3 linked regions of the Notamacropus eugenii genome follow. The protein of the gene in region 2 binds, or shares a complex with, the protein of the main gene of each other region. Links are inferred from orthologs where the notes say so. Each region holds a gene or a part of one and is shown on either strand. Other genes may lie near its edges.

The links.
Region 1: CEP290 (region 2) and TMEM17 share a complex: the UniProt entries of both Homo sapiens proteins name them as parts of the tectonic-like complex. The link is inferred for Notamacropus eugenii from reciprocal best matches to the Homo sapiens genes CEP290 and TMEM17.
Region 3: CEP290 (region 2) and TMEM237 share a complex: the UniProt entries of both Homo sapiens proteins name them as parts of the tectonic-like complex. The link is inferred for Notamacropus eugenii from reciprocal best matches to the Homo sapiens genes CEP290 and TMEM237.

Annotation. Positions count from the first base shown.
Region 1 is NC_092872.1:642,117,620-642,121,367, reverse strand, and holds the start of TMEM17 (transmembrane protein 17), read right to left. Parts: upstream 2,583-3,748; 5' UTR 2,482-2,582; coding exon 2,382-2,481; intron 1-2,381. UniProt on the Homo sapiens protein: Transmembrane component of the tectonic-like complex, a complex localized at the transition zone of primary cilia and acting as a barrier that prevents diffusion of transmembrane proteins between the cilia and plasma membranes.
Region 2 is NC_092874.1:270,073,142-270,076,889, forward strand, and holds the start of CEP290 (centrosomal protein of 290 kDa), read right to left. Parts: upstream 2,843-3,748; 5' UTR 2,578-2,842; intron 2,316-2,577; exon of another isoform or gene 2,229-2,315; intron 1,808-2,228; exon of another isoform or gene 1,733-1,807; intron 1-1,732. UniProt on the Homo sapiens protein: Involved in early and late steps in cilia formation. Its association with CCP110 is required for inhibition of primary cilia formation by CCP110.
Region 3 is NC_092877.1:297,805,174-297,808,921, forward strand, and holds the start of TMEM237 (transmembrane protein 237), read right to left. Parts: upstream 2,319-3,748; 5' UTR 1,979-2,318; coding exon 1,937-1,978; intron 1,506-1,936; exon of another isoform or gene 1,368-1,505; coding exon of another isoform or gene 1,331-1,367; intron 1-1,330. UniProt on the Homo sapiens protein: Component of the transition zone in primary cilia. Required for ciliogenesis.

The sequences.
Region 1 (3,748 bases), on a different chromosome or scaffold from region 2:
CATTATTAGAAGAACTGGAGCTATGATATTTTTTAATTCAAATTTTGTGCTAATTTAGAACCACTACCAGAAGAAGGAATAGTGGCCTTAATATTAATTAAATAAATATATATTAAGCGTCAGCTATATAAAAAACACTGGGTTCAATTCTAGAGACTGGCTATTTTTGGTGATTAGGAAGCGAATAATAGTATAGTATATCATCACTTTGTAATTACTGTCTGTTGGGTCTTTCCCTGTTCATGCAGGCAATATGTGGCCTCAAAGTATAACAGATAATTATGATTAATTTTATTGCAGCTTTTGGGGAGGAGAAATGTACACATCATTGGATTCAATATCTCCATAACACAATTGCCATGACTGCCATAGTGTTGTAAGGACCATACCAATCATAAGTTTGCTCTGCCAAGAAATTACTAGTCACTAGAGATTATGATGCAGTATGTTTTTCATTTGTGTAAACAGAAAGTCCTAAAGGAGGCAACACAGATCCTATGAATTCAAGTACAAAGTTAGCCAAGTTCCAAAATAATGAGGCCAAATTTCATATGCAAAAAGTATATATTTTGAAATAATCCATATTCTTTAGTTGTTTAACATTCCAAAGGTTTAAAAATTTTTAAATAAAATATTACCCCTCTACTATATCTCTATGGATTTGAGGGTGGGGTTTGCAGGACAGAAGATTTTATTCATCATTCTAGTGGTATAAGGAACCCCCTGTGAGGAAATTTCCTCTTCCAATGCTAGGTCAGCACCTGAACTTCAGGGTAATGTTTACAGAGTTTCCTGGGGCACTGAGAGTTTAGGACAAGGTTGGGGAACCTGAAGTCTCAAGGCCACTCGTGGTCTTCCAGGTGTGGCCTTCGGTGTGGCCTTTGACGGAGTCCAAGTTTTTTACAGAACAAATTCTTTTATTAAGTGGATTTCTTCTATGACGTGTAGATTCAGTCAAAGGGTCACACTTGAGGACCTAGAGAGCCACACGTGGCCTCAAGGCTGCAGGTTCCCCACCCCTGGTTTAGGATGGTGACTTTCCTCAGGTCACAAAGCAAGTATTTGTCAAAGGTAGGACTTGGACCCAGGTCTTCCTGATTCTAAGTCTGGCTCCATGTCCTCTACACCACAGTGGATTTCCACAGGGGAACTTTTTAAATAATTGTCAACAACATATTAAAATAAGCAACTACATTTCTATTCTTAACAATAAAAATATTTTTCAAACTTCAGTCCTTGAAAAAAATTCATATATTAATGACATTAATTGCCTTAAGATGTTAAACCTATTGAGAGATAAATCAACCAGCCTGTCTAATCCTTTCTAGGACCTGCATGGTAGTTGCTAGGATGGATATACATGGGGCTAAAAATCTCTAATGATAAAAATTGAGTATAGAGTTAAAAAAATCAAATATTGATTTCTTCAGGAACAGAAAGCAGAAAACGGTACAAAGTGTTGCTTTCTAGTTAAAATAAAGCATCCTAAGGTCTTAAATAGAGCTGAGATGATGCTGAAAACACCAGTTTCAGGGTTGGAAGGGAGGTGCCAGGCACCCAGAGAGAGTCATGAGTTCGAATTCTGCCTCAGCAACAGTGACCTTGGGCAAGGCACTGAACTCTGTGTGCCTCAGTTTCCCCACTGTCAAATGACCTGGAGAAGGAAATGGCAGAGCCCTGCAGCACCTTTGCCAAGAAGGAAGCTGAGGCCAGAGGAGACCTCAAGACTCCGGACCTCCGGGCTCGAGGCCCCCTTGGGAACTTGACCTCTGCGCTCCTCCCCTCCCCCACACCAGGCACCCCAAGATTTGCGTGAAAATAAGGAGAGCCACCAGAAACACATTTTTTTTTTCAGAAAAGCACAGCTTTTTGAGATGTTCGATTTTTTTCCTTTCTTTTCTCTTTTTTGGGGCTCATACCTATGATTTAATATTTATTAAATATTTATTATTTAGGGAGCTTCCTCTGGGGATTTGTGTTCACGCAACTAGTTGGTCATTTCTAGTCTCAGAAAAGAGGTAGCGAGACAGCAGAGCGCGCCGGGCGCTCAGCTTGAACTTGAACTTGAACTTAGCCCTCTTCGCCCTCCCCCCTTCAGGCCCAGAGGCGTTACAGCTGCCATCGGGCACCATTAATTAATCGATGACTTGCCAGATCGATTCACTCCTGTCCCAGTAAGGGGGCCTCAGTCAGTCCCAAACCCCGTCATCGGAGATCGGGGAAGGGTTCTGGAGGGAAGGACCCCCTCCTCCCCCGCCCCGTCAGAGCCCGCTGAAGACCGAGCCGCCATGTTCAGTGTGGGCACGACCCCAACGTCATTTCCCGCCCCCTTCTGCCCGCGCACGCCCTCAGCCCCTTCTCCTAAGGCCCTTGCCACTCACAGAAGTTGAGGCTGGATTCTGGATTGGTTCGGTTTGTGTCGGTAAACACGGTTCGGCTAAAGTTCATCAGCCGCTGCCGGACCGGAAAGGGCAGCTCCATGGCTTCTCTCCACGGGTCCCGAAACCCACCGAAGCCTCAGCTCCCCTTGGAGCCCGGCCTCCCTTCCCCCACCCCAACAGGCGGCGGTTCCTATGGCAACCCTGGCGGGGCGGGGCCACAGGCTGGGCCCGGGCGCCTGCGCGCTTGGGGACCACCCTCCCGCGGAGGCCCAATGGAGGAGGTCTGTGTGCCCAGCGTTAGCTGTACCTGAGAGGCGGCCTAGACCTACGTCTTTGTTTTACAGATAGGGAAACTGAGGTCCGGAGACGTGATCCCCTGCCCCACATGCAGGCCCTAAGAGGCCCGGGCCGAAGCCAGTTTCTCTCCCTCACTAAATATCCCCTGTTCAGTCCGGCGGGGGCCCCGCACCCCGTCACAGCCTCGGAAAGACCCGGATGTCAGGCCTTGGAAAATACCCCCAGGGCCGAGCCAGAGCCCGGGGATCCTCCAGGAGAGGCCTGGCACCCTGGGCGGGGCTCTGTAACACCGGCGTGAACCCAGCGCTAGAACCCGAGTCCTGGCATTGGGGAGGGAGGCGGGAGGGCTGCAGTCCGGCTCGTACGTGCGCCCGGCCCGCTCCGGGCCCTGGGGGTGGCGGTCATGCGGACAGCCCGGCCGCGTCCCAGCGCTGACACCCGCTGCCCCTGCGGGCCCGAGGAGGGGGCCCGCTTCCGCGTGCGCCCCCCGAAGGCTCAGGGAGCCCGCCGGATCAGAACCCAGGCCGGCTGTCCTCCCAAGGCTGTCGGTGTTCCGGTGGGAACAGCAAGGGTTAGGCTTGCTCCGCGTGCTGAGGTGGAACAGGACTTACTCGTGGCCAAAATTTTATTGTCACTCTTTGGAGGCCGCTGTCAGATTTTTCTATGTATTGGAAATATTGCCTATCATGATACTGTATCAGCCTAGATAGGGTGAATTGTAACGCTACTCTAAAACGTTTCGGTGTAATGAACGCTTTAGTACTCTGCTGAAACCCCTTTTAAAAAATGCTTAAAATAAAATACGTACGATTACAAAGGAAACCAAGAACGCTTGTAACATTTGACTTGCAGGGCCAGGGGCGTGAATCTCCCCCCACTGAGCCTAGGCAGGGCCCCCTACCTGGGGAAGAGTGGCTCCTCTGGCTCCCAGCTTTGAGAAGCAGGACGGACAAGTCCACGAAGCCAGCTGTAGAACCTCAGTCCTATCTCTATGCCTGTCTTCTCTACACTGGAGACTTTGGAGAATTCCCCCTTGGGTGAGATCTGCCTCTCTCTCTTGGTTGAACTCA
Region 2 (3,748 bases):
CCCCTGACGGGGTGAAGTTCCACATTATGTTGTTAACCTTACACACAAACAAAAGAAAACAAGAATTGGGCAAAATTCACTAAAACAAAATGAAAAGATCAGCTACAGTTAGTTAGATGCAATCAGGCACAGTGCAAAGAATGCTGGATTTCAAGTTAGAGGATCTGGATTCAAATCCTGACTTTGCCATTGTTGCCTGTGTTACCTCTAGTAAGTCATCTAACCTACCGGGCTTCAATTTCTCATCTTTAAAATAAATAAGTTGGACTAAGTGACTGATCAGATCTTTTCTGACTCTAAATTTATAACCCTCTTTTGTAGGTCTGTACTTAACATCACAGCGATTTGACTCCTAAGTTCCAAAAGGGAAAATCTATGAGTAATGAGAATTATTGGCAAAGAGACAAACTTGATGTTAAGGAAAAACTGTCCAATAATGGGAATTACTATCACAGCAAAAAACAATAATAATAAGGCCAGACTTAGTGATCAATGTAGATTATACAAGAAAATGGTATAGGGAAACACAGCAGAGGCTGTAAAAAGTTTAGCACCCACAGAATACCCAGCAACATGCAACCAGCTGGCTAAAATTATGCATCAGAAATGCACTGTCTTTCATGGATTAACAGACAACAAATCTCCATGTTACATAGACCTCCAAATACCCTAGACAACTCCACAGACCAAAACAGGAATGAACAGTCATCACTGACCATACTGTCCTCTATATAACATCCCAAATATAACACTTATTCATAAAAATGTTTTTAATAGATGGTATCATCACAAATACTCATAATCTCTAAACTACCTGGAACAAAAAACTTTCAAAATATAGAGACCTGGTTTCATCACAATCAAGCGGAAATGGGACTAGGTACATACCATTCCAGCTGTCTTGTTCTCTACTGTTTTTGTACAAATGAAGGTTTTAGGAGGCCTACAGAGCATGTATGTGTCTGTTCGTCCTTTGTTGCCAAAGCAGACCATGCTATCAGAGAAATGATGACATGACTTGCACTTGACTTTGTTTTGAGTGAGGGAGGGCTGTGCAGGTTACCAGCCTCACTTCTCCTCCAGAGCCATCTGAATCCAGTGACCAGATATTCATCAGAATGACTGGAGATGACCCAGGATGAGGCAATTGGGGTTAAGCAACTTGCCCAAGGTCACACAGCTAGTGAATGTATCAAGTGTCTGAGGCAATATTTGAACTCAGTCCTCCTGACTCTTGCACTGGTGCTCTATCCACTGCACCACCTACCTGCCCCGACCTAGAGAGCACTGGGTTGCTAGAAGGACAGAGCACCAAATCTGGAGTCAGGTTGACCTGGGTTCAAGTCTAGCCTCAGACACTTACTAGCTGTGTGACCCTGGGCAAGTCACTTAACCCTGTTTGCCTCAGTTTCCTCATCTGTAAAATGAGCTGAAGAAAGAAACGACAAGCTACTCCAGTATCTGCGCACACAACTGGGGTCATGTGGACAAAACAACAACCTACTATAAAGATGAAAATGGTAATAATGACAATATCAACTCATATGCTTATAGCACTTTAAGGTTGGCAACATGTTTTTACATGTGATCTCACTTGTCCCTCACAACAACCTTGTGAGGTAAGAGTTATTAACAAACCTATTTTACAGATGAAAAAAACGGAGGCTCAGAGCAATATCTTGCAGGATTCGAACCCAAGCCTTTCTAACTTCACCACTCTTTGCATTCCCACCTGTTGCCTGCCTCCAAAAGTTGCCCTAAGGGGCCGTTCCCTTCATTGGAGATCTGTCACAGGTTGGATGACCCCCTGTAAGAAAAGACGTTAAGAGGTATCCTTACCAAATCAAGTCCATAAGTATTCATTAGGTGCCAGGGCACGCTGCTAAAATTTGAGCAAACAAAGCAAAAACAGACCACACCCTCAAGTAGCTCACTCAAGAAGACCTCAAGGCGTCTAATGATGGGGGGGGGGGGGGGGGGGGGGGGGGGGGGTTTAAAGGGAAAGCAGAAGAAAGTAACTATGTTACACACCGGCTACACGAAGGATACATTGTAGCTAACCACGGAGGGGAGGGCACCTCCCCAACCACTTAATGGGGCTGGAAAGGCTTGTAGAAGGTAAGATTTTGGTTGAGAGCACGGAAGAAGCCAGGGGGCAGAGGTGAGGCTGGTGAGAGGTCTGGTCCCCGGAAGAAAGCTCGTGAAAATACACTGGGTCCGATTCTTACCAGTTCTGATGGGTGTGGAAGGGGGTAGGGGTCACTCGCTAAATTAAGAGGTAGCTCCCACAATCCAGGTTATGCATCACTCTGCTCCTGGCAGCAGGAAAAGAAATTACGGATTTAGAGCTAAAAGGAGTCTTCAGAGATGCCCCAACTGCTTTACAGAGGGGGAAACTGAGGCCTAGCGATTCGGGGAGATGCCTGCGGACCTCCCAACCCTCCAGGCTGACTCCTAATCCAGGACTCGGGAAGCAACATCCACCCCTGGCGCACGAGGTGTAAGATCTGGGCAGGGGGCACCTGGAGGAGAGAAGAGAGAGAGAGTCGGGAGGGCTCCCTGGCGCACTGCACTGACCGGTGACAGGAGGTGGCGGAAGGAACAGTCCCGCAGGGCACCCGCCCTCCTGGAGGAGGCTCTGTCCTCTCTCAGCCCGGGCCAGCTCGCCCGCGCCGCGCCTACACAGCGGGTCTACTCGGGAGAGCGGCGGCAGCGGCTGCTAGGCGACCCGAAGGTTTCCCTCCCCCTCGCCCCAGTCTCGTAGATATGTAGAGCGCCACCACCGATCCAGCCCGAAGTCCCGGATGCCGAACTGCTGAACTAGCCTACATTTCACGACCGCTAGGCGATGCTTTACGGCCCCAGCCCTAAGCGAGGTCTCAACGCCACAGGTTGGGATCGGAGATGAACCGAGAACTCCGATTCCCAGAGTGCACCGGGGAATGCGCTGCGCATGACGGGAGATGTAGTTCTGGGCGAGCGCACGGAGGTGTGCAGTTCCCGGCGTGCAGTGCGGCAAGTCTTTGGAGTCTGAGGAGTGTGCGGAACGTCCCTGGCGGGTCTCCGGCGGCGCTCGCTCGCTCTCAGAGGGGCGAGGAGGAGGGTGCAGCGGGACCGGCGTCCAGAGAGGGCTTTTCGCGTCTCCTCAGGCCCTCCGCGGGAGACGGGTAAGGAGCGGCGGGCGCGGGGCCGGGCGGTCGCCCTTTCTCCCTACACAGCCGCGGCCTCCTCCTCTTTTCCTTCATTCTCCCGAGAGCGGGGGGAACATGGGGGAGTAGCGCCCCCCTAACCCAGTCTTCCCCAGCCCCACGCCCTTTTTGACTCTCCTCTAGACTGAGCGAGAAAAGTTTCTTCTGCCTCTACTAACTGGGCGAGGAAATGGGGCCACCTGGTGGAGGGGGAGGGGAGAAGAAACCTCACCCCCGCCCCCTCCCGCACCTCAGTCCCTCCCTTCCTTACTTCTCGCATCCCTGGCGGCTGCCCCCCCACCCCCATCCCTGCCCCCAGGAGCGGACTCTGTACTTTGGGAGATTGTGGATTAATTAGAGTCTGGAAGACCTGAGTTCGAGCCTCCGTGCCCCTGGGCAAGGCAGGTCCGAGAAGATAAATTAAGCCAGACACAAATTATATTATAGCATTTATAAGGTGCTTACTGTGCAGCAGTCACTGTGCCGATCTAAGTCCTGGGCATACACAAATAATAAACAGCCAACGTTTTTATGGCGACTGCCAAGTTCTGGGGATAAAA
Region 3 (3,748 bases), on a different chromosome or scaffold from region 2:
ACGATGAAGTTGTTGCAATCTGACTGTTAAATGTCTTCTTCCCTCAAGTCAAGGGGTGAGAGACATGGTCTCTGGGGATCAGGTCCCAGATCTAGAGGGTGGTGGTTGTTCCAGATAAGAAAAAGGAAGCAGGACACACAGCAAGATGCCTGGGGAGGCCTTGGTTTCCCACCTGTAAATGGCCTTCATTTACTTTGAAGCTGTCTGGTTGGTTGGGGGCAATAATAGGGTTCTCGGCAGTCTGACTGCTTGATCCCCAAGCCCACTGACTGCAGCCACCCCTGCTGCCTCCCAACTCTTGCTAGCTGTCAATGCTGATATATTCACTTCCATTTATAATGCCATCACCTCAGCTGGGCCTGACCCTCTTGGCTTCTCCTTGCTGCAGATGCCTCCAGTCTAGTGTAAGCCTCTCATTCTTTTTGGGGTGAGGGAGTTTAGAAAAGAGCCTGGACAGGCAGCAAGGAACTAGTATGCCAAGCTCAGGCCAGGAAGATGTACCCTTCGACTTACAAAAGTGGGTCACAGGGGTAGAGGCAAGGAGGATGCAAGGACTTCGGGAAGAAGGATTTATTCCCATCACCCCCTCCCTGCACCTTCTTGCATGGTGAGGAGCTTAAATGGCTGACCATTCAGCACAGCCCACATTGGGCCCTGGCCAGGATGGAAGGGGTTGAGTCAGGTGGTGGTTACCATTAGATTAAATTGCTTTTTTGCCATTCTGTATATGTCCAGCACTTAACACAGTAAGCACTTAAAGGCTTGGCACGTAGCAGCCACTGAACAATTGTTTCCTGACATTTTCTTAGCACTCATGCACCCTCCCGGTGTGTGCACGCCCTGCTTTGCAGACCACTGTTTTAACACTTCTGCACTGGTGGAGGTGGTTGTCTGTTGGGACGTTCCTGATACCAATGAAATCACAGATCTAATAAAGAAAATGCCCATTAATTTCTTTTCTCTTATGTTTAGTGCAGGAACAATACTGCATATCGAAAAGGATAAGTGCTAATGACTTTCCTCCTAAACTCTGTCCTTAGCTGAACAAAGCTTTTATTAATATATTCAATACTATACTAACAGCAATGCTAATGAAAAATAAGAAGACAAATTAAAAAACGGTTGTATAAAAAGCGACAGCAGCACACAGGCCACGCGCAGAGACCTCATTTATCGTTTTGGGTCCAGGCTCCCTCCCAGGACCAATGGATCACGAGGATCTCAGCGGGAAGGCCGGCAGGGACTGGCCCTCTCATCACCCAAAGCCAGCACACCCACGCACGACGCCCCTCCCCAGTCACGGCGTGCGAAACAAAGGAAAACAAGTCACTGACGGAGGCTTACCACCTGTTTCTTCCCCATACCATCTAAGGCCCGCCTCGGAAGGAGCCGGCCACCGCGCGCCAGTGGGATGCCCGCACAGCCCGCCCCGGGCAGCGCCCGCAGCAGGGCAAGACTCCAGCCCGAGCCCCGCCCACTGGCCACTTAACACGTGGCGGGGAGGGCCCAGACGCGCCGTGCGTCGTTGCGTCACTAGGCCCCGCCCCCGAGGCCCGGCCCCGCTCCGCCGGTCTAGCTAGTGGGACAGACAGAGAAGCGTGGGTGTGACCGGAGGAGAGGGAGGGAAGCCAAGGGAGACTGGGCGCAAATGACGGCCTCCCCGCAGGCGGACCGAGCTCTCCGGGACGGGTGGGCGGCGAAAGCGGTCGGAGTAAGAGAGGCCCAGAAGCGGAAGTGGAAAAGGAGGACCCCAACTGGTGGCCCTGGGAGGGCGGGGCGTCGTCATGGCAGCGCACGCCCAAGCCGGCCGGCCGCCACCGGCCCTTTCCCGAGACCTAGGGCCCCGCACCCCTAACGAGGCGAGAGGGCGGGGTGCCCCCAGATAACGCCCCGGAGACCCCCCAGCCCCGCCCAGCACACCACCGCTGCGGCTCACCGGGCTGGGTTCCTCCTGCGGGGGCCCGGGCTCCGGCCTCATGCCGCGTCCAGCGCAACCTCCTGGGCAACCGCCGCCGCCCGGCCCGAGGCCCAGCCCCCGCCTCGAGCCCGCGCCGCGCCGCGCTCCGCTCCGGAGGTGTGGGCTGGGAGAGGGAGGGCGTGCGGGCGCCGGGGACCAGGCCGACTCCCGGCGGGGCGGTGCTTCCCGCCCTAGTCTGCCCCGAGGGCTGGAGCGCGTGTGGAAATGTGCGCGCGTGGGTGTGCACGAGGACGAGTGTGTGCGTATTTGTGTCCGTGTAGGAGTGTCCGTGTGAGTGTGGCTGTGTCTGTAGGAATCCTGCTGTCTTTGTGCGTGGTCTGCGTACACGTGTGTTGGCGTGCCTGTGCCCCCGCGTGTGTGTGAAAGTGTGTCAGTGCCTGTGCGCCTGCCTGCGGGCCAGCGGAGTGTGGCCAAAGAGCAGGGATGCCGGCCTCATCCTCTCTCACAGTCCTGTCTGTCTGTGAGAAACGCAGCTGAGGGCCACAGACGCCTAGCAAAAGACGGTGTGGAGCTGTAGCTAGATGGCACCGTCAGTTCAGACTGGGACCTCACTGGCTGTGGGACTGAGCCACTTAACCCTGTGTGCCTCAGTTACCTCATCTGTAAAATCAGCTGGGGAAGCACAGGCAAACCACTCCAGTGTCTGCCTAGCAAACCCGGGGTCATGAGAAGTTGGATACAGCTGAACCCCAGGGTGTTAGGTGCAGTGGTGGCCTTTGGTCTTTCAGCAGGTACATGGCATTTTAATGTTTGCTTTTAAATTCAGGACTTTTGGGGGGTCAGGGGAGTGGTCTACTCCCATGTAAAAATCCCTTCTACCCATGAGTGACTAAATGAAAGTAAAGTAACAATGGCTTTGGAGTTGGAGGATGTTCAAATCTTGGCCCTGCTCCTTGTAGGCCAAGTCATTCAACCTCTCTGGCCTTCATTTTTCTCTTCTATGAAATGAAGGTATTGGATTAGATGACCTCATACAGTCAGTGGTATGGCAGCGTGAAGTGACTGGCCCGTGGTCACACAGCTTGTCAGAACCTGAATCCAAGTCTTCCTAGGATTGGACCTCGGTCCAATGCCCATGTTGCTTATGAAAATAGCATTTTACATTTAGAAGGAACCTTAGAGGCCATCTAGACCACCCTCTCCATTTTACAGAGTAGGTAATTGAGTGATTTGCTCAGTCACAAAGTGTCCCAGGCAGGATCTGAGCCCAGGTTTTCTGAATCCCTAATCCTCCCAAATCCATACTCTTTCCGCACTGCGTCTTAGAATGAGGAACCTAAGACTGAAATATTTTAAAGTGTCTTTTTTTTTTAATTTGTACATTATAGATAGTAGAGTGGGTGGGAATAAGTAGAAATGTAGAAGGTCGGCAGTAAAACAGAGAGGGTGTGTGTGTGTGTGTGTGTGTGTGTGTGTGTGTGTGTGTGTGTGTCTGTGTGTGTGTGTGTGTGTGTGTGTGTTATCTTTCTCCTAAAATTTAAAGCCAAATTTCATTTTCACAATTACAACTTTACTTGGGGAAGATTCTTGGTATTTGTTCACTGTGTGATTAAACTGAGTGAGATCCATTTGAGAGTTCCTGTTCATATGCAAATCCAGGGATTAAGTCTGTAACGGTTAGAAAAGAGATAACTATGGTAGGCTGTTTGCCCTGACCCCTTCCCTCTTCTTTCCCCCAAAATGCTTGGAGTGGATACCTATGCATTTTTAACTTTTGAGAGATAGAAACACAAAATCAGAAATTTCACATGTTATTGCTAGGCTTGAGTT